3 linked regions of the Arabidopsis thaliana genome follow. The protein of the gene in region 2 interacts with the protein of the main gene of each other region in a pairwise test. Each region holds a gene or a part of one and is shown on either strand. Other genes may lie near its edges. The genes, in order: KAT1, VAMP726 and KAT3.

Region 1 (7,446 bases), on a different chromosome or scaffold from region 2:
ACTTAGCTAAACAAAAGGAATTATAAGGAAAAAACAAAAGATAATTTAGCTAAGCAAAGTATCATGATGGTGAGCGTTGACAAATGAATCATTCGTCTTCTTCAAAAGCAGTGACGGGGAAAGTACGTGATAGTCCCGTAGGATTAGCAAAAGTGATTTGAGTCGGATCTTGATGATTAACAAAGATCTCAGAGATCGTAACCCAAATCAAAATCTCTTTGCTCTTGATTCCCGTGAGCTGACTCATCCGACGATTCTCAAGGATCGCAGTAACCTCCGAATCGTAAGATACGTTTCGTCCAATGGCTTTAAACCGATGTTGAACCTTGTTCTTGATCTTGATCCAGACATAACCGGTTGATTTGTTGTGACCGATCTCTGTCATGTTGTCTAGAGGAAGAAGACCTTTGGGTAGATTCATGGTTGATAAAATCTCTTTGGCTTTCTGTTTGCAGTTTGATTCGCCATTGCAGATCTCTGCTCCTTCTCTTTGATCTGATTTCGTTTCTTGAGACGACATTTCGATGAGATTTGTGGTGGTGACTTTTTGGGGACTTTTTGCTGGATTTATATAGAGGTGTGAGTTTTGGAATTGAATGACGAAATTGGGTCTGTGGAAGAGGAAGGAGAATAGTATTAGAGAGGGTAACATGGAAATTTCGTATAAAATGAGGTGGGACGCATGCAGTTCATGTTCGTGGAATAATTTATTTTATTCGTTGATTGAATATAAAATACATTCGAGAATTTCTTATTTTGATTTTTTTTTATTACAAACATGTTGAAGTGTTTAAATTTAAAATAAATCAAACTGAATATACGCTTAATTTTCTGAAAAAAAAATTTCGTCTTTTTAATAGGTAAATTTCTTAAAATCTTTATTGATAATAGAGAAAAATAAAATTTTCTTGATTTATCATGTGAAACAAGTTCAAAGCAGAAGACTCGTGTAGAATAATGTTTTGTGTTCAAACAGAACGGTATCAATGTATCATAGTCAAGCTGTGAAATAAGATTGTGTTTTTGTGTCAATTAATGTCAGTTTTGTATACTCTGCTTTTGATAATCTAGACTTTTCTATGAAACCGGGTAAAAATACATTATCTGCAGATATACATGCTCTATAAATGAAGTCGAGTTTTCAAACTCAATTTGATGAAAAATACAAATGATCACCATCCCAAATGACATCTAAATCATCAATCTCAGCGTTGTCCGCATTGGTGATCTTTGTGAAGTTGCAGCCTCCAAACTTCTCACTTGCAAGTCTTAGAAGCTCTTCTATGGATGATGGTAAGAGTATCAACTTCCCGTTCTTGCTCTCAGACATCATGTGGATGGTAACTCTCTTTTCTTCTCGTTTGCATGGCTTGATGATTTGGTTGCTTGAGCTGCAATATGGATCTTTTTTCGATGAATCGTTAGCGTAACTTCTTCCAGCGGTTTCACTACTTGATCTTTCCACTTTGGCTCTCTCTATCTTTTGTTCCTTAAGTATCTTCTTAACCATTTCAGTATCTTCCTTGTGAATCGCATCCATTAGAGCAGTGTCGGAAGTCGGATTCGTAACATCTAAACCATAGCCATCTTTTCTTGAATCTCTCCACTCTTCCCATCCCATGCTTTTGAAATCTCTGTTTTCGTGACCACTAGTATTCGAATCATCTATTGCTATTGACTGTTGCCCTCTAAGTTTCTGAAAGTTTTATAGCCAAAAATGAGTTTAGAGTTTGTTTTAACTATAGAAACATTTCTATAATAACTCACATACCATGAAGAGATTGTTCATGATGACTCGTCCATCGTCAGCATGAGCATGCATCGCACTCATCAGCGATGTTCTGCTTATCCGCAGTATTTGAGATAGCTCGGTTGTTCTTACTGTGAATGGTTGTGGTCTATAGTATAAAACTCCAACCTCTCCAAATGTTTCTCCAATTACTGCTTTCCCTTGAAACTGATCATGTCCATCAACGTAGACAGTGAAGTCCTGTACAATACACAATGTTACAAGATTCCTAACTGTTATTCACATATTTACATATAACCGATATATTTCACTCACCACTGCTCCTGACACCAGAATGTAAAGATCAGTAGGAGCTTCGTTTTGTAGAATTATATCTTCTTTTGGTGGGAAATACTCAGCGTCTATATCTGAAACCTTGAACATGAAAAGGTACATGGAGTTGGTCACCTCTTACATATTAAACGTTAAGAAAAAAGGTTAGAGAATACAATTTTACCAATTGAAAGAGGAAGTTACGAGAAACTCCTTGAAAGAGGTAAATGTTGTGAACAATGGGGAAGAATAAATAGTTTGCAATGCTTGACCGGATTGCTTTTGGCAGATTGTTCAAGGTCTCTTGTTGTTTCAAGCCCTCTGTTTTGAACTTTAAGCAAATGTGTGATAACATTTGATCTTGTATGTCATGTGGGAGTTGATTTCTTGAAGCAAACTCTGAAGCAGCTCTCACTGAATCCCTCTGTTTAACACAAAGCAATAAAGCATTACAGATTAGTAATACTCAATATTATTTTAGTCAACTTAAAATACTCAAAAGTACGTAAACCCCACGCTATTACCCGAACCTTTATCCGAAATGAACATGCCTAGACTAAAAGAAAGTGATCAAACTTACAAAGGTTCTGGTTCGGCTAGTCCAATGAACGACGAGGTTGGTCATATTTCCAATGAGGTAAGCTGTCAAACCGAGGTTGAACATCATGAAGAAAATGTCAAAAAGCATTTCTCTTGGGTTCTCAGCATGAAAATCTCCATATCCCGTGGTCGTTAATGTCGTAATGGACCAGTAAAGAGCAGTCACATATCTATTCCATAGACTTGCTTCTTTGAAATTTGGATACACAGCTCCAATCCATGTCTTTCTTGGATTAGGATATCTATCTGCAATCAGGTAGTTGAAACATCCAGCACAATGTATAGCGAACAAAGTGACCTGAGATCAACAAGCACGTGTAAGTCACTAGCTTTAATATGGTGTCCATTTAAAAGACAAATAAACCCTAAGAATAGATCACCTAAATGGACAGCCCTAAGCTTAAAATGCTTTATTATAAGTGAGATTAGTTTTGCTCTGTTTTGGAACTAACCGAAATGAGTTTTGTGCAACGTATCCAGAAATAGTTGAAACGGATATCTTTCTCAAGCCTGAAGCAAAGGTAAGAGTTAGTTAGACTTGAGTAAGCACTTTCTTAGTTAAACCCTAAGAAGAGTATGGTCTCTTAGTTAGCATAGAAGCAAACCTTGCAAATAGCGAGCTAACTCGCCGGAGACGCCATAACCTGAGCATGCTAAGAATTCTGAATCCTAGTTCGCTTCCGTTGTAGTTAAACAAGAGGCTTAGTGGCTGAAATGGTGCTGTGGAACAAACATCGAAAGCGAACCACGTCGAAAGGTACCTGAAAATGTTACAATTTCAAAACATACTTTGAGATTCTCATTCACTTATAAAAGGTTTCAAGTTAAGAAAAAAGGTTTCTCACCTTATTGCTATTTTCTTAGGACTGTCAACTAGAAGATAGGAGTGGCTATCGAGATAAGCGACGAAGAAGGTGAGAATAATATCAATGGCGAAGAAGCCATTAACAATGTTGTCGATGATGAAAATCGCGTCTTTTTTATAGGTGATGAAAGCAAATTGAAATGGGCAAATCCAAGCTGAGTAAATAACTAGTAATACTAGCCACATCTCCCACGCTCTGTTTCAACAAACAGAGGATTGAAAACAGAGTCTTTAAATATACTTATAACGTGAGTAAAAACAGAGTAGTTAAAACTACTTATAACCTGAATAGTTGAAAACATAGTTGAAAACAGAGTACTTAAAACAGAGTTTAGTAGATGAGAAAATTACCTGTAACGTGGATTAAAAGGAGAGATTATGTGTTTGCGGAGCTTAGTAGATTGGTTGATCCTGGCTCCAAGAGATGGTAGAAGATCGGCAGAGAGGAAACTACTCTGTTTTATGGTGTCTATATTGTATTCCTCGACGCAGAATCTTTCGAAGAAATTTCGAGTCCAAGAGATCGACATCTTTTTGATGATCTCTAAAGACAAAGAAACTGTTATACCTTTTTAGGCTTTCTTCTTGGCAAGGTAGTTATAAATAGTGATGAAGCTTGTGACAAAGCAACACGGGGAAACTTCTCTTTTCTTCTTCTGTTGGGACCTTTATGGCAACTTGTTGTGACCCATTTGTTATCTTTTTTTCTTTTTGGTTGAGAATTTGGCAGGGAAAGGTTAACGGCTTTAAGAAGACTCAGTGCACCATTAATGCTGCAAAACCAATATGGTTTCGATTCGAGAAGCAACAATGGTGAAGAAAAGGCGTAAAATGCGGAACGGAGTAAGTGTGAGATGATCAAAAATCTTGAGAGATGAGACAGAATTTAAGTGGCAAACATTGAGCTTTTGCGGTAGATATCATCATATTTTGTTTCTTTTTTGACACGAAAATATAAGATTCGAAAGAGGAGGAAGAAGAAGAGGAAACGCAATCTGTTTCTTTGGAGGTTTCTACTTGATGAGATTCATGACTATCAGACTATGGTGTGATGTCCACTTTCCTAGCATTTGAAGGTGGGAGTGATATATAGACATAGAGACACATATAAAGGAAGGAAGGTACGTTTGGTGTTTGGTAAGTGTTAATGGGAGGACAAAAATGGGCATGAAAATTATGGTGTGTTCATTTCAGGAATCCAGAAATGGACCAAGCAAAATAAAGAAAATAAAATGGCATTTGACAGAATATGTAAGGGGCCAGAGTATATTTTTTTTTCTTTCTTCGAAAAAAGTTTTATTTTCTCATCAACTATTCTTAAAGTATATGTCTCTATTTTATTTTCTAGTCCCCAAAACCAATCATAAGTTTATTGTACTCATTGCAAAAAAAAAAAAAAAAAAGTTATTGTTCTCATTTTGGATTGAGTTTTACTAAATAGCCATAAACTTGGAAGATTATTTCCAAAACACTCATATAGAAAATATAGTAGTCCATTTAATCTTTTTGCATGGGAAGTGAAACTCTAAGATTATTTTACCGAAACAGCTTATATAATGTATTATTATTATAGAAGCTACGTGAACTCTCCACGTGGATAAACCGAATCTAGGTAGCGAATGAGGCTCTCTAAACAGTGAAGTCCCAAACTCTCTTCTCACTCGGACACACTCGCTGGCTCGCAAGCAATATGTCTTTGTTGTGTTTTGACTTTGGTTTATACTTAGTACTTAGGAGAAGACACACCAATAGGAGATCTTCACGTGGTGGGTTTTTTCATGTGTGTACACTTGATTTCTTGTCCGTCCCATACTTCTCATTCCCGTCGGTATGGTGGCCCCTCCCTTCTCCTTCATGTTCTGATTCCATTTACTAATTTCTTATAAACCCTTTCTAGATATATGTATGTTTTCATTTCTCTAGTGTGCTAGACTCTTTATATCTTAATCTCACTAATAAAGGAAAAATACGTAATTTATAAATTTTAACAAAATAATAAACTTGATTTCTAAATTCTTAATTAAGAATTTAAAAATGACATCTTACTCATAGGAGGAAATATATGAAATGATAAATCCCATAAACTGTGAAAGAACAAATCTAGAGTTTAAAACACAACATGATAAAATATATATAACATGGCTATAAATATTTTTAACAAAAAGGTGATAAATTATAGATGAATTGTACATTGACTACATTCTGTGCAAATGAACATGTGCTAACCTTTTCTAATGCGGTTATAATTGACATGGGAAAACAAAAGAAAAGAAAAAAGAATCAGGAATTTTTTCTACAATAGGAACGAGAAATGAGAGAAAACAAATTGAAACAACTAAGAATAAAGTTATGAAAAATCATGGTTTATAATAAAACACATTTGTATACGAATATTGATTTTTTGGTAATCCTAAATATTTGACTAAACTTTTGTTTTCGTTCGCTAGTATAGAATGCCAAGTATAAATTCTTCAAACCTTTCCGCCAAATTTGTATTATTAAATCATTCCAAAGCTTTTTGTTTCTGCGTCGATCTGAGCCCGTTCGAATGTATCTTTCATGATTCCTTGTTGATATTTTGTTTATTGTCTTCCTGAATCCTAATATCATTATAGAAACAAAACAAAACAAAATAAAGTAAATGAGAGATTCCTAATATAAACATAACATGAGCTAACTTTAATATTATTTTCTCGTGATTAATTAGTTTTGCCAATAAAAGTTTTATATTAGGTTTTATGATCTAACTTACTTTTTAAAAGATGATTATAACTATTGAAAAATGAATTATTTCGGCTTTCAAATTTTAGTATTTTGTGATTTTTTTTTTGTTTTTTAATTTCGGTTATTCATATATTTCAAATCAAAAGGAATTACTGGGTTACTAAACCTTGCCTTAAAAGACCAGAAATCGTAAACTGCTTTAAGTTTGCTATTTGCTGTCTTCCTAGTGCAAGTGGGGTTGTTCATGTTAACTGTTTAAATTTAAGTTTAAGCTGTCACATGCATGCTAAGAGTAGTGTAGGGTCTAAAAATTTGTTAGTTATTTTTGTTGTTGTGGGCCATCATAAGTCTTGGAATCGGTTGGTCTAAACCTGTTTTATACCTTCTTCAAACTACATTGGAGCTGATTTTCATTTTATATTCATGTAAGATCATCGAGTTCTAGTAACTTGATTTTGAGGTCTCAAAAGAGAATATAAACTGTATATGGTTGGCGAGTGGAACCATGAGCCATCGTCAAACATTATTTTTTGATGGTTAGCCGCGAATTAATCTTCAAAACCGTATTTGTAGTCATATTGTATTATAGTTGGTAGGTTTTGGATTGGTAGTTTTAGTAACGACCAGATTGAACCATGCTGGTCTATTCCACTACAATTTTTTTTCTTTTCTGGTTAAATATGTTATCTAGAAAATCTAGATTTTTCTTGGGATTTAGTACCCTACATTATACGTTGCACATTATTAACGGGTCCAATACTAGATAACAGATAGAGACATTTTCCAGTAAATCTTCCATTAAGTTAAAAGTCAACTATTCTATTCTTAACCCTTCTCATGATCATATTAGACTGTAAAGGCAGTTGAGACTTTTATTGAAAATTTAGAGTTTTTCTATTATCAAAATGCGTCTAATTATTATATTTTTTATTTTTTTTGTTATGAAAACTTTAAAAATCTTAATGGATGTATTATAATTGTGTCTTATAAATAAAAACAGTTTAACATTAACTGTAATTATAGTCGTTATGGATGGAATATCGTCCCGGGTTGATCCTCTTTCTCATGCTACTAAGAGGAGAAAGATCTGATTTAACACAAATAAAAACAAGATAATTTTCCACAATATCAACGGTACAAGAACAACATGATAAACGAGTCATAGACACTGCATAAGTGATTTTGTTTGTGTAAT
Region 2 (5,800 bases):
CTTATGTCCGAGCGAAGCATGTTCAGGTAAATTTAATATACATATGTGTGACTTTATCCAAAGGAATCGAGTTTATATTGATTTTTACTGAGATTTTGGATTTGATGTTTGGTTCAGTTGGTGGAGAAAGATGCAGAAGCAGCGATAGAGTTGTTTTGGATAGCGATTAAAGCGAGAGATAGAGTTGATAGTGCTCTTAAAGACATGGCCTTGTTAATGAAACAACAGAACAGAGCTGAAGAAGCCATTGACGCTATTCAATCCTTTAGAGATCTTTGTTCAAGACAAGCTCAAGAGTCATTAGACAATGTCCTCATCGATCTATATAAGGTAACTAAACTCTGACCGAGACCATTCTCTTGTTTCTCTCGGTTACCGTTTTATTAGATAGTGAAATTGACAAACTTGGGATTCCGAATTTTGTTGAACAGAAATGTGGGAGAATAGAAGAGCAAGTTGAGTTATTGAAGCAAAAGCTTTGGATGATATATCAAGGAGAAGCATTCAATGGCAAACCAACAAAGACTGCGAGATCTCATGGCAAGAAGTTTCAGGTCACCGTCGAGAAGGAAACCTCTAGGATCTTGGTAAGACTAATAATCTCACGACTAGTCTTTAGTTGTGATTAGATTTCTCAAGTCTCTTGATCAGTGAACTGATGGAATTTGAATGAATGTGGTGTTACAGGGGAACTTGGGATGGGCTTATATGCAACTAATGGACTATACAGCAGCTGAAGCTGTGTATCGGAAAGCTCAATTGATAGAGCCAGATGCAAACAAGGCTTGCAATTTATGCACATGTCTCATCAAGCAAGGGAAGCACGATGAGGCGAGGTCGATTCTCTTTCGTGATGTACTAATGGAGAACAAAGAAGGGTCTGGTGATCCGAGGTTGATGGCTCGGGTTCAAGAGCTATTGAGTGAGCTAAAGCCACAGGAAGAAGAAGCAGCGGCTTCTGTGTCTGTGGAATGTGAAGTTGGTATAGATGAGATAGCGGTTGTCGAAGGACTTGATGAGTTTGTGAAGGAATGGAGGAGGCCTTATAGGACAAGAAGACTTCCGATTTTCGAAGAGATCTTACCACTGAGAGATCAATTGGCTTGTTGATGATTCTCTGTGTGTTTGGATTGATGTTTGAATACTGAATAGGAACCTTTTTGGGTAGAAGAATGTAGTGAGTGAATAGAGTTTACCTCTTGTAAGCTTTTTCGGGTGTCGTTGTCTGTTATTACCGCAATGTCAAATGATCTCATTCCAAAAGTAATTCCAAAAGTAGTTGATGTTATATCCATAGATATAACACTATCAGATAATGTGTCAAGTTGGTTGGAGGAATATAAAACCGATCATTAGACTTGTAGATTACAAGAGCATAAAGGCCTAACCTATATAATAAGTAAACACAAGAAAAAGCTTAAATCTCTCTTCCAAACAGTTGATTTCCTAAGGATCATTCTGGGTACCACGTCAATTTTTGTTTGCCTAAATAAAAGAAGAAGGAAAAATACAAAAGAGAAGGATAAAAGGGGATAACTATACCGGGATGGTTCTAATTAGCTTAGTAGCTATGTGGGTGGTCTGATCCACCGGAATCGAGTTCTTAAGTACACTTGAAGCCATGGCAAACCGACAAAATGATGATGAGAATCAAAGCGACAATGATGCCAAAGACTATGAGCTTTATCTTCATGTTTTCGAACCACAACTTTCTTTTCATCTTTGTTCCTTGTGTTCTAAAATCTTGTGCCTATTAACAAACAGAAGAAGAAGAGCATGTTACCACTAGATAATAGTGATGTAGTGTCTCTTATACTGTATTTGAGATGTGGTTATTATTAACCTGTGAGCGAAGGTTCTCAGTTTTGTCTACTAATAGCTCGATTTTCTCTCCACGGTCAAGGACCTGCCATAGGATTGAATTGCAGAAAACACATTCAGCTTACAGGTGAGGAGTTGTCGATGAAAAACATGGATAATTTAGTCTAACCTTCTCAATATTCTCCATCATAACACCCTTCACTTCAGTCACCTGAGCCTTAACTTTGGAAAGTTTGCTAATCTCCTCAGGATGATCCGCACAGTACTGCATGTGCTCCTTCAATTTAGACCTACATTCATTACAACAAAACCATTTAAAACACACATCCACAAAGATGGAATTGAAAAGAAATGCTCTGACTAAAAATGTTAAAAGTACCCGAATTCTTTGTTCAAGCTGTTGGCTTTAGCAGTGGAAGCTTTTCCACCACCGTATCTCTTGTTGAAATCCTCCTTGACTCTCTCCAAGAAAGCCATTGGTATCTGCCTCCCAGCAGATTCAATAACAACAACACAATAGGCTGCATAACAACAGAGGGAAATGAGAAATCTTATTGTCACATTCCAACTAAAGCAAATTCGTGCATTGGACAACCAAAGCTTTCCAAACATAAAAATCTTCACAATAAACATTCCAAAGAAGCCATGCATAAAGCTGATTAAAATCAGAACGAAAACAACAGATTGCATATCCAATCAAGACATGGCATTGATTAGAAGAAAATCTGAATATAACACAATGCCACAAGAATCGAGAGCAACGAATATCCTACGAAATTCAAAGCTACACTGTTCTCGAACATTTGATTTCGAAACTAAGCATTCATAAGAAAACAGATGAACCAAGGCATAAACAGAGAAATACAGAGCAAAATCGACACAGATCGGGAGATAGAGACTTACTGAAGCCATTATCAGCGAGATAATTGAAAGTGTGACCGTCGCAATTGTAGGTAAATTTGTTGTTCGAGGACGGAAGTTTCTGGAGACACTGAGCGGCGACGGAGGTGAAATTGCCCTTGAACTCGGTATACTCGGCGAGGATCACCGTACCGCGAGCGACGAAGCTGTAGATCAACGATTGTTGTCCCATTCTTCCTTTTATCCAGATGAGAGAAAGATAAAAAAACGAAACCTAAGAACACCACAAAAATCCGATCGAATTGATGAGAGAGATTAGTAAGCGATGTAAAAATACACAAGGGAACGAGGGGTAGCGATGGAGAAAGCAGGACGCAGAGATCGGAGAAGAGAAACTATATGAGAGCGCTGGATTTGCGCGAGTAACAGAGACATTATTTTCCCTTTGGTAACGTTCAAATTTTGAATTTTTAAATATAAAAAGTAAATAAAAAGAAAAATTCATCATTTGTATAGTCGAAAATTGCCTTAATAAACTTTATTTTGGTAAATAATTCACGTCTAATTAATAATAGTATCTTCATGTTTTTACACCACGGTGGCTCGTTTTTCAATTCAAATGTGAAATGTTTATCAATGAGCATTTTAAAAAACAAATATATATATATATATATATATTATATATTGATTTTTTATAAAGAAAATTGCGATGTGTAAGGGATATTTGAGTTGTTAAATTTTCTATAAATTATATGTTATGTTACTTAAAAGAACGTTCAATTGATAATGTTGCAAACCTTCCTACCAAAAAAATTAAAATAATGTTGCAAACCTTTTCTTTCATTCCAATTCACTAACCTTCTATTCTAACCACAACCTAACTACCTAAATTTCAATTATTTGATTGTTGATCAAAATCTTTAGGAACACGTTAAACAAATTAATTAGCAGGTTCTAAACAATGCAGAGCAATTGTAGATGACAAGAGATAACGGTAGAAGTTCGAATTTTGTTGCTGTAACAAGATACTATGACTATGAGCTCCCCCCGTCCATTAAGAATTAAGAAATTTGGTTAATTACAACATTTGTTTTTATGTTTAAGCCTTTTGTTCGTAACTGAGCTAATACTGGAATCACTGATCAATGATGAATTTGGAAAAAAAGATATTTTGAGGAAGACAGAGACAGACTCTCTTCGACCATGGGACCTGAACTTGTCCTAAAGTTGGTAATTACTAATTTGTGCCATCGGCAGAGTCCACGAGCTTTTTGGCTGGATCCGGGCGGGTCCAACTTTCTCGACATTTGTTTGATCTCTCCGTTTTGAAATTGTTTTTTTTTAGTCCTTAAATTCAAGGTTTTATACTATTTTTGACCCAATCTGACTACCTTAAATGACAACTTTACCCTTGCCCGCTTTTCAACTTTTTCTTCTCCCATGTCCACTTTAGTCCTCGTTTTGTTCTTTCATAGTCTTCTAGATCTGTAGTTTTTTTCCGCGACCGCCCAAAAAATTCTCTGATCAGACGGTCGATTGGATCGGAGATTTAAGGTAAAGAAAAAATGGCGCAACAATCGTTGATCTACAGTTTCGTAGCTCGCGGCACGGTGATCCTCGTTGAGTTCACTGATTTCAAAGGTAATTTCACCTCAATCGCTGCTCAGTGCCTCCAGAAGCTTCCGTCTTCGAACAACAAGTTCACCTACAACTGCGACGGTCATACCTTCAATTACCTTGTCGAAGATGGATTCAGTAAGTCACTTTTCGTTTGATCTATGCATAGGTTTTAATCTTACACCATTCGGTGCTTACCTCGATTTGTTTCTAGGTTTATTTGCCTAACCTATCGATTCGTATGGATTTGTGCATCCTGAGTAGTCTGATTTCACTGAGGAACCGCATGAACCAAGCTTTTAGGGTTAGATCTATATTTATTAAACGCAATAAATCTCTGTAGAGTCTTACCTGTATAATCACTCAGATTTGGACAGAATCCGTGGTAGCTTTGGTTGATACTATGTGGAAGAACACCAACATTGATCTGAGACAGGGTTTTTACTGGTTGCTTTATTTGCGTATAGTTTCCTAGGTCATGGGTTTTGGCTGGCTTCATTTTTCAATGAAAATCTGGGGTCTTATTGTAAGCTTTTGTGACTATCCTTTAGTTGTTGTAGCCATATCAATTTCATATTAAATCAATGTCACCTGATTATCCCGTAAGGGAAGACAAGGAGATTGATTTTGTTCCTGTTGTACAGCCTATTGTGTTGTTGCGGTTGATTCTGCTGGGAGGCAAATTCCCATGTCCTTTTTGGAAAGAGTAAAAGAAGATTTTAACAAGCGATATGGTGGTGGAAAGGCTGCAACTGCTCAAGCAAACAGCTTGAATAAGGAGTTTGGGTACTTTTTCATTATCTCTTCTATTTGGATGATCTTCTCTTTTATATTCGTGGACTGACTCTTTTTGGTAACTTTGAAGCTCTAAACTGAAAGAGCATATGCAGTATTGCATGGATCATCCTGATGAGATTAGCAAGCTTGCTAAGGTGAAGGCGCAAGTGTCAGAAGTTAAGGGTGTAATGATGGAAAACATTGAGAAGGTTTGAATCTGACCCTTTCTGTCCTCAATGTATATATTTACATCTATGGTTGACCCATCTGAAAGAGCTCATCTAGTCATACTAAGTTACTGTGAAATCAATTACTAATAATTCAATGCATTACATCTTACGGGAAATGTCCAGTTTACCAATGTAACACCGCTTACATATGCGACTCATTATTTGCAGGTTCTTGACCGTGGTGAGAAAATTGAGCTTTTGGTGGACAAAACCGAAAATCTTCGCTCACAGGTTAGACTCTCTCATACCCTTATCTCCTGCATCTATTTGCCTACACTCACACACAAAGATGAACATGCTTTTTGAGTTCATAGCTGACTCATCCTATTACCATATCTTGTGTCTAACTGAACTCAAACTGCCACAGGCACAAGATTTCAGAACAACAGGAACGCAGATGAGAAGAAAGATGTGGCTTCAGAACATGAAGATAAAACTCATAGTGCTCGCCATCATTATCGCACTGATTCTCATCATCGTGCTCTCAGTTTGCC
Region 3 (7,344 bases), on a different chromosome or scaffold from region 2:
ATGTAACCTGTGTTTTCTTTATAGTTTGTGCTGCAGCAGTATGATAATCAGTTATCAAAGAAATTCAATGATGCGGTGAATGAAATAAGGAGGCAAAGATGTTCTTACCTAAGGTATCTAGCAAAAATCTCAGTATCTGTCTTTTTTATTTCCTAACTGAACCTTTTCCAGCCTCTAATCCTTCCAATGTCTTTATGTTTTATCTACTCAGAATAAAATTGTGCAAGAAGGGAGAACCATCAGGTGAGTAATAATGGACGGATTCCAAATCTTAGCACTAACTACAAAGGATACATGTTATTTATCTTTTCTTGTTTGCGACATTATCAGTCTTACGTTAATAGTAACAGCTTAGATCCTGTCATCTAATATTATTTTGCGAAATGAACATTTATTTTTGCTTACTCGGTGTTGATTTCATAGAACCTTGTCGATGCTGATTTGTTCTTATGATATTTGGTACTTTTCAGGAATGTTGTTTCTCTCGTATATGGTAGAGGACAGGACAGCAAGCGGCCCGTCGTATGTGGAGTTTCTCGTGCAAGTCCATCGCCAAATCCAGCTAAAAATGAACTGATCCTCTGTTTTCTAGGAGTCCTTACAGAAGTTTCCTCCCATCTGCATCTGTGTCATGTTCGGAATTTGCGGTAGAAAAGCATAGCAGAAGGGGAAAGGGCATCGGTCTTATGGCTGCTTGAGAAGTTTTCTTCTTGTTTGAAGGAAAAGAGAGCATAGACTACTTCAACTTGAGAAGCTTCACGACATTTTAAAGTTGTACTTAGATAATAGTCTCCACTGTTGTTTTGTCTTTTTTTTTTTTTTTACTATAAAGAATTATACAAAAGAGTCCTTAGCTAATCTTTTTTGTATGGTTATTTTTTTGTGTTATTTGAGTTTCGAACTAAGAATTTCCTTTCAAATACTTTTTTTTTTGTTGGTTGTTACCGAATATACAAATAAAAGTCTTTGATGTACAATGCAGTGTAAAATATGAAATAATTGTTATTTTCTTTTTTTTTTAACAACTACTACTACAACTTTATTAGATTGTATAAGGTTGATACAAATAAGAGAGTAAGAAACGAGGAGGAACAATAAAAGACTGATACAGAGTAGTAGTAGACAAAACATATTGAGCCATCTTATCTGCAGCACTATTTCGTTCACGATTGACGTGGAGAAGAGTGACGTTGGATAGTTTTGCCATCCAATGACGAATATCGAACAGGAGACCCCCTATTTGAGAATGATCATCACCATTATTGATAGGTCAATCTTCTCCAGTGTTCACTGCTTTTATGGTTTTTAGTTACTTTATAAGTAGCCGTTGATGCAAATGTTTTAAAGAGAATTGTTTCAGTAATAAGAGAAAATGCTAAAATGTATGCAACAATGGTACTTTTGTTGTATGCTAATGCAATCTTCAATCAAACATAATTTTAAGTTCAAGATGTCAAAAAGATAAGAAGCAAGTTCATAATAGTGGAATTGGGAATTCGATCTTCACCTTATATTTTCATATATCTGACTTTGCATCTTTTCATAAGCACCTTACGCTAACAAAAATATAGTTTTTTTTGTATCATTATTTGTGTGGGAAGTGATAATTGTGAATATATATATTTATAAACGAATTAGAAAATATATAAATGATCGTTTTCTCGAAGAGCATCAATTTGTTCAACATGTGCACCATCTGCCATTGCAATCGTGCTTCCTCGTTTCCCCAACTTCTTCTCTGCATCCACCATAGTTTTATGAGTTCAATATAAAGTATATTAAATTTTAAAAAACTTTCAATGTATAAGTAAAGAGAAGTGACATCATAAGAGTGAAACTGACCAGCTAAGTCGAATAGAAGTTGGATAGAGTCAGGTAAAATGATAAGTCTACCGTTGGAATCACCATTGTTTTTGTTATCTTGATTAGGAGGAGCTTGTCCATGAATTATCACTCTTTTTGGAACTCCCTCTCTTCTTCTCTCTTCTACTGCAATCAAATGTCATTGTTAAAAAAAGGGTCTCTATACATACAAAAAAACATGTTCATTTTACTCTGTCTTCAACAAAAAAAAATGTCTTCTTACTCTGTCCATTTTCATGTCTTGAGACCGTAACTATTTCCTCATCGTTACTTTGTGGTGTTTCCTCTGACTGAACTGTTTCCTGTCACCAAAAAATGCGTTTTCATCTCAAACTCACTTGACAATTTTGACGAGAGGACTATGCATTATTTGTTATAAGAAGGTATATATACCTGAACCTGAGCATCTGCGTCATCTAATAAATCTCTAAGAAAAGGAATTTCTTTTTTTAACTCATCATTCAATCCCTTAAGATACTGAAATTAAAGAAAGAAACATTAATTATTAGTGTTACAATATAAACACTATATTGATGTTACTACCGTTTTGTGAATGTAAACTTACTGTCATGAAATTGGCAATGATCATTTTGGCGTCGACGTCATTATCAGACTGCACCATTTCTTTGAACTTATGATGACCAATTCTGATAACTTGTGAAAGTCGACGTGTCCTCACTGTGAAAGGCTGAGGAATGTTGAACACTACTCCTATCTCTCCTGCCATACTTCCGGGACCTAACTTCGCTAATACCTTCACCATTTATCAACCAACTCTTCATACTCTATCTCAATCTTTTAAGTTTATGAAATGTGTTTTTCTTATAACTGAAATTTGTTCAGAGTTTTACCTGTTCACTCACACCCTTGGAAGCAATTATATCCTAAAATTGCAAATTTTCTTTTAATCAGTTGAAGTCAAATATAAATAAGAATGAGTAAACAATCTTTTCGGGATAAATGAATGAGTAAACAATCTTTTCGGGATAAATGAATGAGTATGTAGAGGATATATAGATATATCATACCACTCCTCCAGATACAATTACGTAGAAATCCGTTGGAATCTCATTCTGCAAGATTATCTCCATTTTCGGCGGAAAATATTCTGCTTGTATTTGCGAAACCTACAACAACAACATAGAAGAATGAATTACCACTGCCTTGTTTAACAAGGAACAAAAGAAAATGGAATTGTTGATGGACGATCACCAGCTGGACGAGGAGGCCTTCGGGGAATCCTTTAAAAAGATAAGCTTCTTCGATGATGGAGCGGAATAGATGTTGGTTAATGCTTGATCTTATGGCCTTAGGTAAGTCTTGAAGAACCTCTTCTTGCCTTAACTCCGCGGTCTTGAACTTGAGCTGCATATGTGCAAGCATCTGTTCCCTCATTGTATCCGGTAACCTGTTCTTGCTTGTGTATCGCAATATATCATTGATCGCACTCCTCTGTTCAGCAGAAGAATGATTATTGTACGACTGGTAGAGTAAATGAATGAGTAAACAATCTTTTCGGGTTTAAGCAATGAATGATTATATACCATGGCGAATGTACGAAGAGCGCCATGGACAACTAGATTGGTCATGATACCGATGATATAAGAAGTGAGGCCAATGTTGAAAAGCATGTAGAACATGTTGAATGTCTTCTCACGGCTATTAACTGCATGCAAATCACCGTAACCCACGGTAGTGAGTGTGACAATGGACCAGTACATTGAGTAAGTGTACCCTAACCATACACTTCTTTCCTTAAAATCCTCAACTTGCGATCCTATCCATGTATCCGTAGGCCTTGGATAATGGTAGGCTATCCAGTATAAAATGCAACCCGCCAAATGTATCCAAAATATCGTTACCTGAATCAAATTTCACAATTTGAATAAAAGTCATAGATTGACATAGCCAATTTAGTGATTGTATGGACCACATATAGATAATTCAATATAAGTAAAACTTACACATAGAAGTTTGATGACTCGGATCACGAAATAGTTGAAATGTGCGTCTTTCTCTAGTCTGTTAAAAAAAGAAAGAAAGGAAGTGTAAAATAGACACACACATATGTACTATATGATAAGTGGATTTCAATATTGCATATTATATAGAAAGTAGTAAAGAAAAAACCTTTTAAAGAGTTCGGCTACACGACGGAGACGCCAGAGGCGGAGTAAATTAAGGAAGCCGAAAGCTTGGCCTCGTCCGACATCTCCGGTAATAGTTTTATAAATGAATTGAATGGGTAACGTTGATGCTACGTCCATCACAAAAGCCACGCTCTTCAAGTACCTATAATAATGCACAACATATATAATTCAATTCTAACTTATTCATTTTACTTATGTTATTTTTTTAACATATAAAAACAAATTGATTTGTTACCGTTTGGCGATGAGCTTGTGGTCGGTGACATTGAGGTAAGTAGTATTATCCAAGTAGGAAACAAAAAAGGTGAGGATGATATCAACGGCGAAGAAGAAGTCAACGACGAGATCAATGGTCAATAACGCTCCTTCGGCAGCTTTCTCGAAAGCCAACTCGAACAAAGATGCCCACGCCGAATACCCAACCAATATCACCAAAAACAATTCCCACAACCTACCATTAATTTTTATATGGAAAGATTAAAAAAAAATTAAGATATATGAATATTAATAAGAAATAACAATTTTAAGACGTAAAAATATGAAAATTAATGAACGAATCATTTGATCATTAATTTATGGACTAATAGAAACAGAAAAGTTATGAAATCTGTAAATCACTATTTATTGTTTGATAACCAAAAAACATTTCTTCGTTGTTTAGTTAGTGAGAAATGAACCTGTAACGACGATCAAAGTGAAGAACGATGAAAGGTTTGGAAGAAGGATTATCATCTTCGATGAAAGTCCCAAAAGCAGGCAAGAGACTGCTCGAAACTGACGTTATGTTCCTCACATCTTTGCTCGATCTTCTTCTGAACTGCAGTATCGATAACGGCGATCTTGCTTCCGCCGTCGACGCCGATAACGCCGTCGAAGACCTTCCTCTTCTCAACAACAACGGCAACGGTGATCTCGCCTCAGTAGTCGTCGTAGACATTCTTTTTTCCTTCTTCTTCTTCTCTCTCTTCTTCAAGCTTGATGATATATACTTCCCTCTTTTGTCTCTTTCATTTATACCTTTTTTTTTTAGTTTTGAATTATTAAAGAGGTGTTTAGATGATCAAGAAGGTGGTGAGCAAATTAAGTTGACTTTTTTTTTTACTGGTTTTTGTTTTCCCTATATTTTTTGGAAAAAAAGAATATAACAATACTATAAAACAAATTTACTTAACCATCTAATAAATTATAATTTTTCAAGATTGTAGTATGATGAATTTTACTCTTTATATATTCAACTTTGTTGTTATATATGCAGAAGGCTTCATCGACTTTTTTGACTCTTATTTACGTCTCTGTGTGTATTTAATGTGGCATCAGGTGTAGTGATTACAATCGAGATCTACAATATCAGGGGGATAAGGTTTTTTTTTTTTTTTTTCTTACGATAAATTATGTAATAATTAGCTGTTTAAATACTGGAGTTGAAAAAATTGAGGAACTCAAAAGTCAAATCTTGACGTCTTTTTTGTTGTTGTTATTAAATGAGACCGTGACAGGAATAGTAGTGTTGAAAACAAAACGAACAATAATAAACAAATGAATTACGTATCAATATCTATCATCAGTCAGAATTTAGTATGTTTTTAATACAATCATTTCAGTTTTTTTGAGATAACATATCATATATATATACTTCTTTCCACTTTCCAGTGTTGGATGTGCATGTTTACAATTTTTTTAAAAAATTCTAAGGAAAACAATGTTTTGAAATTCTAAGATACGTTTAGGTAATACATGAAGGGGGATACACTTTGTCTTCGTCCCTTAATTAGCTCCTATGAAGAATTTCACATACACAAATTAAGAAGATGCATGCAATAACAAGGCTAAAGCCATTTCTTAATAGTTCATTTGTACATAAAGTAAGTTTGTGTATGTTAAAAAAAAATTGTGTATGTACTGATGTACAGTATGTTGTTGATTGTTGATACGTAAAACCAAATAGTCAAATACTATACATTTTTACGTTTGCTCGTATAAATTAGGAAACGAAAGCATAATTGTTACGGATAAAAAAACACGAAAATCAATTAATGAAACAAAACCCTTTTGTAAAAAAGCCCATTTTTATGGAAGCCCATTTTGAGATGGACCAGTTAATGAAAAAAAATCCAAGAAACAATGAAACGAACGTTTAAGATCCATGATGGAAATTTGGGCCAAGATTATAAGAAGATCTCACCACATTTCATTTGGGCCGGGTGGGCGAAACATTCCGGGTGATCGTGTAGACCCAATTTTTTCGGTGGAAAGTGCAAAAAAAATGCAATTGGTGGATGTCGTCGCGGTTCGACCCCAAGGGATTTGGCCGGTAAAATTATTGGGAGTTGTCTTTCTCTTGCACTCTCTCTAGTTCCAAACCCTAGCAATTCCTCTGTTTTCACCATTTTCGGAGATTATCACCTTCTCCCCGATTCGCCGCCTTGTGATTACATCTACGTAAAGAGTTTCTGGTAGAAATTTTCCCTCTTTTAGCTGCAGATTGGCATCAGATTCCGTTCTGGATGTGTCGGTGATCGATTTTCCGCGTCGGTGATGATAGCTAACGGATTCGAGAGTATGGATAAAGAACGAGTCAGGAAACGTCCTCGTATGACCTGGGACGAGGCCCCAGCTGAACCAGAGGTTGCTCCTCTTTCTTCTTCTTCTTTTTTTAATTAATCTTTGACATTTAGAACTTCGAATTAGGGTTTAGAATGTGGAGGAAAGACCGAGCATTTATGTTTCTTTGGTGAGATTTTGATATGCTGACAATGAATGAATTTTGACTTTTTTGTGATAGGCTAAAAGGGCTGTGATTAAAGGACATGGAAGCGATGGGAGGATTTTGTCACCACCATTAAGGGACGATGATCGTGATGGTCATTATGTTTTCAGTTTGAGGGACAATCTCACTCCTAGATGTGAGTTTTTGATGGATAAAGTTGCTAACTTTCTATTCTATGTGAGCTAAGATATTTACCTATGTTGCTTCTATATGTGTATTGTTGCTAGTAACTCTTTGTTTTGTTTGGCACCATTGCCTTAGGGATAATCTTTTTTCGCTTTCGTTTCATTGGGATGAGAATCCTTCCTGAACATTTTTAATTGCTTAACTTACGCTATTGTGTGTTCTGTTTTGACTTTTGACAGATAAAATACTTAGCAAGATGGGTGAAGGTTAGCTGTCAAGTGGCATGGTGTGTTCGAGATAAAAAAAATGTTTATGTGAATCAAATCGTGCCATTTCAGTGAACTTGCTGGTGTTGTAGGCACATTTGGTCGGGTTTTGGAATGTTGGGATCGTGATACAAAAGAATATGTGGCAATAAAGATAATTCGAAGCATTAAG

The links.
Region 1: the proteins of VAMP726 (region 2) and KAT1 interact in a two-hybrid assay, tested with the Arabidopsis thaliana proteins (one study listed by BioGRID).
Region 3: the proteins of VAMP726 (region 2) and KAT3 interact in a two-hybrid assay, tested with the Arabidopsis thaliana proteins (one study listed by BioGRID).

What each region holds. Positions count from the first base shown.
Region 1 is NC_003076.8:18,742,505-18,749,950, forward strand, and holds KAT1 (1), read right to left. Parts: upstream 4,903-7,446; 5' UTR 4,058-4,902; coding exon 3,879-4,057; intron 3,724-3,878; coding exon 3,508-3,723; intron 3,424-3,507; coding exon 3,268-3,423; intron 3,173-3,267; coding exon 3,115-3,172; intron 2,961-3,114; coding exon 2,643-2,960; intron 2,487-2,642; coding exon 2,247-2,486; intron 2,165-2,246; coding exon 2,066-2,164; intron 1,991-2,065; coding exon 1,772-1,990; intron 1,697-1,771; coding exon 1,148-1,696; 3' UTR 1,006-1,147; downstream 1-1,005. Other genes in the region: AT5G46230 (hypothetical protein (Protein of unknown function, DUF538)), read right to left, coding at 89-520. UniProt on the Arabidopsis thaliana protein: Highly selective inward-rectifying potassium channel. This voltage-gated channel could mediate long-term potassium influx into guard cells leading to stomatal opening.
Region 2 is NC_003070.9:1,331,874-1,337,673, reverse strand, and holds VAMP726 (vesicle-associated membrane protein 726), read right to left. Parts: upstream 3,076-5,800; 5' UTR 2,915-3,075; coding exon 2,725-2,914; intron 2,343-2,724; coding exon 2,201-2,342; intron 2,112-2,200; coding exon 1,991-2,111; intron 1,907-1,990; coding exon 1,844-1,906; intron 1,751-1,843; coding exon 1,604-1,750; 3' UTR 1,197-1,603; exon of another isoform or gene 1,118-1,196; 3' UTR 1,111-1,117; downstream 1-1,110. Other genes in the region: AT1G04770 (Tetratricopeptide repeat (TPR)-like superfamily protein), read left to right, coding at 1-26, 118-330, 432-587, 688-1,110; VAMP721 (vesicle-associated membrane protein 721), read left to right, coding at 4,248-4,437, 4,944-5,085, 5,165-5,285, 5,475-5,537, 5,674-5,800. UniProt on the Arabidopsis thaliana protein: Involved in the targeting and/or fusion of transport vesicles to their target membrane.
Region 3 is NC_003075.7:15,749,848-15,757,191, forward strand, and holds KAT3 (potassium channel protein), read right to left. Parts: upstream 5,201-7,344; 5' UTR 4,951-5,200; coding exon 4,691-4,950; intron 4,465-4,690; coding exon 4,249-4,464; intron 4,156-4,248; coding exon 3,994-4,155; intron 3,886-3,993; coding exon 3,828-3,885; intron 3,726-3,827; coding exon 3,408-3,725; intron 3,316-3,407; coding exon 3,076-3,315; intron 2,991-3,075; coding exon 2,892-2,990; intron 2,748-2,891; coding exon 2,715-2,747; intron 2,618-2,714; coding exon 2,429-2,617; intron 2,341-2,428; coding exon 2,257-2,340; intron 2,166-2,256; coding exon 2,087-2,165; intron 1,990-2,086; coding exon 1,843-1,989; intron 1,739-1,842; coding exon 1,635-1,738; 3' UTR 1,424-1,634; downstream 1-1,423. Other genes in the region: AT4G32640 (Sec23/Sec24 protein transport family protein), read left to right, coding at 25-113, 212-243, 471-577; AME3 (Protein kinase superfamily protein), read left to right, coding at 6,549-6,638, 6,796-6,916, 7,146-7,172, 7,265-7,344. UniProt on the Arabidopsis thaliana protein: Probable modulatory (alpha) subunit of inward-rectifying potassium channels. Could mediate potassium uptake from the soil solution by plant roots in association with AKT1.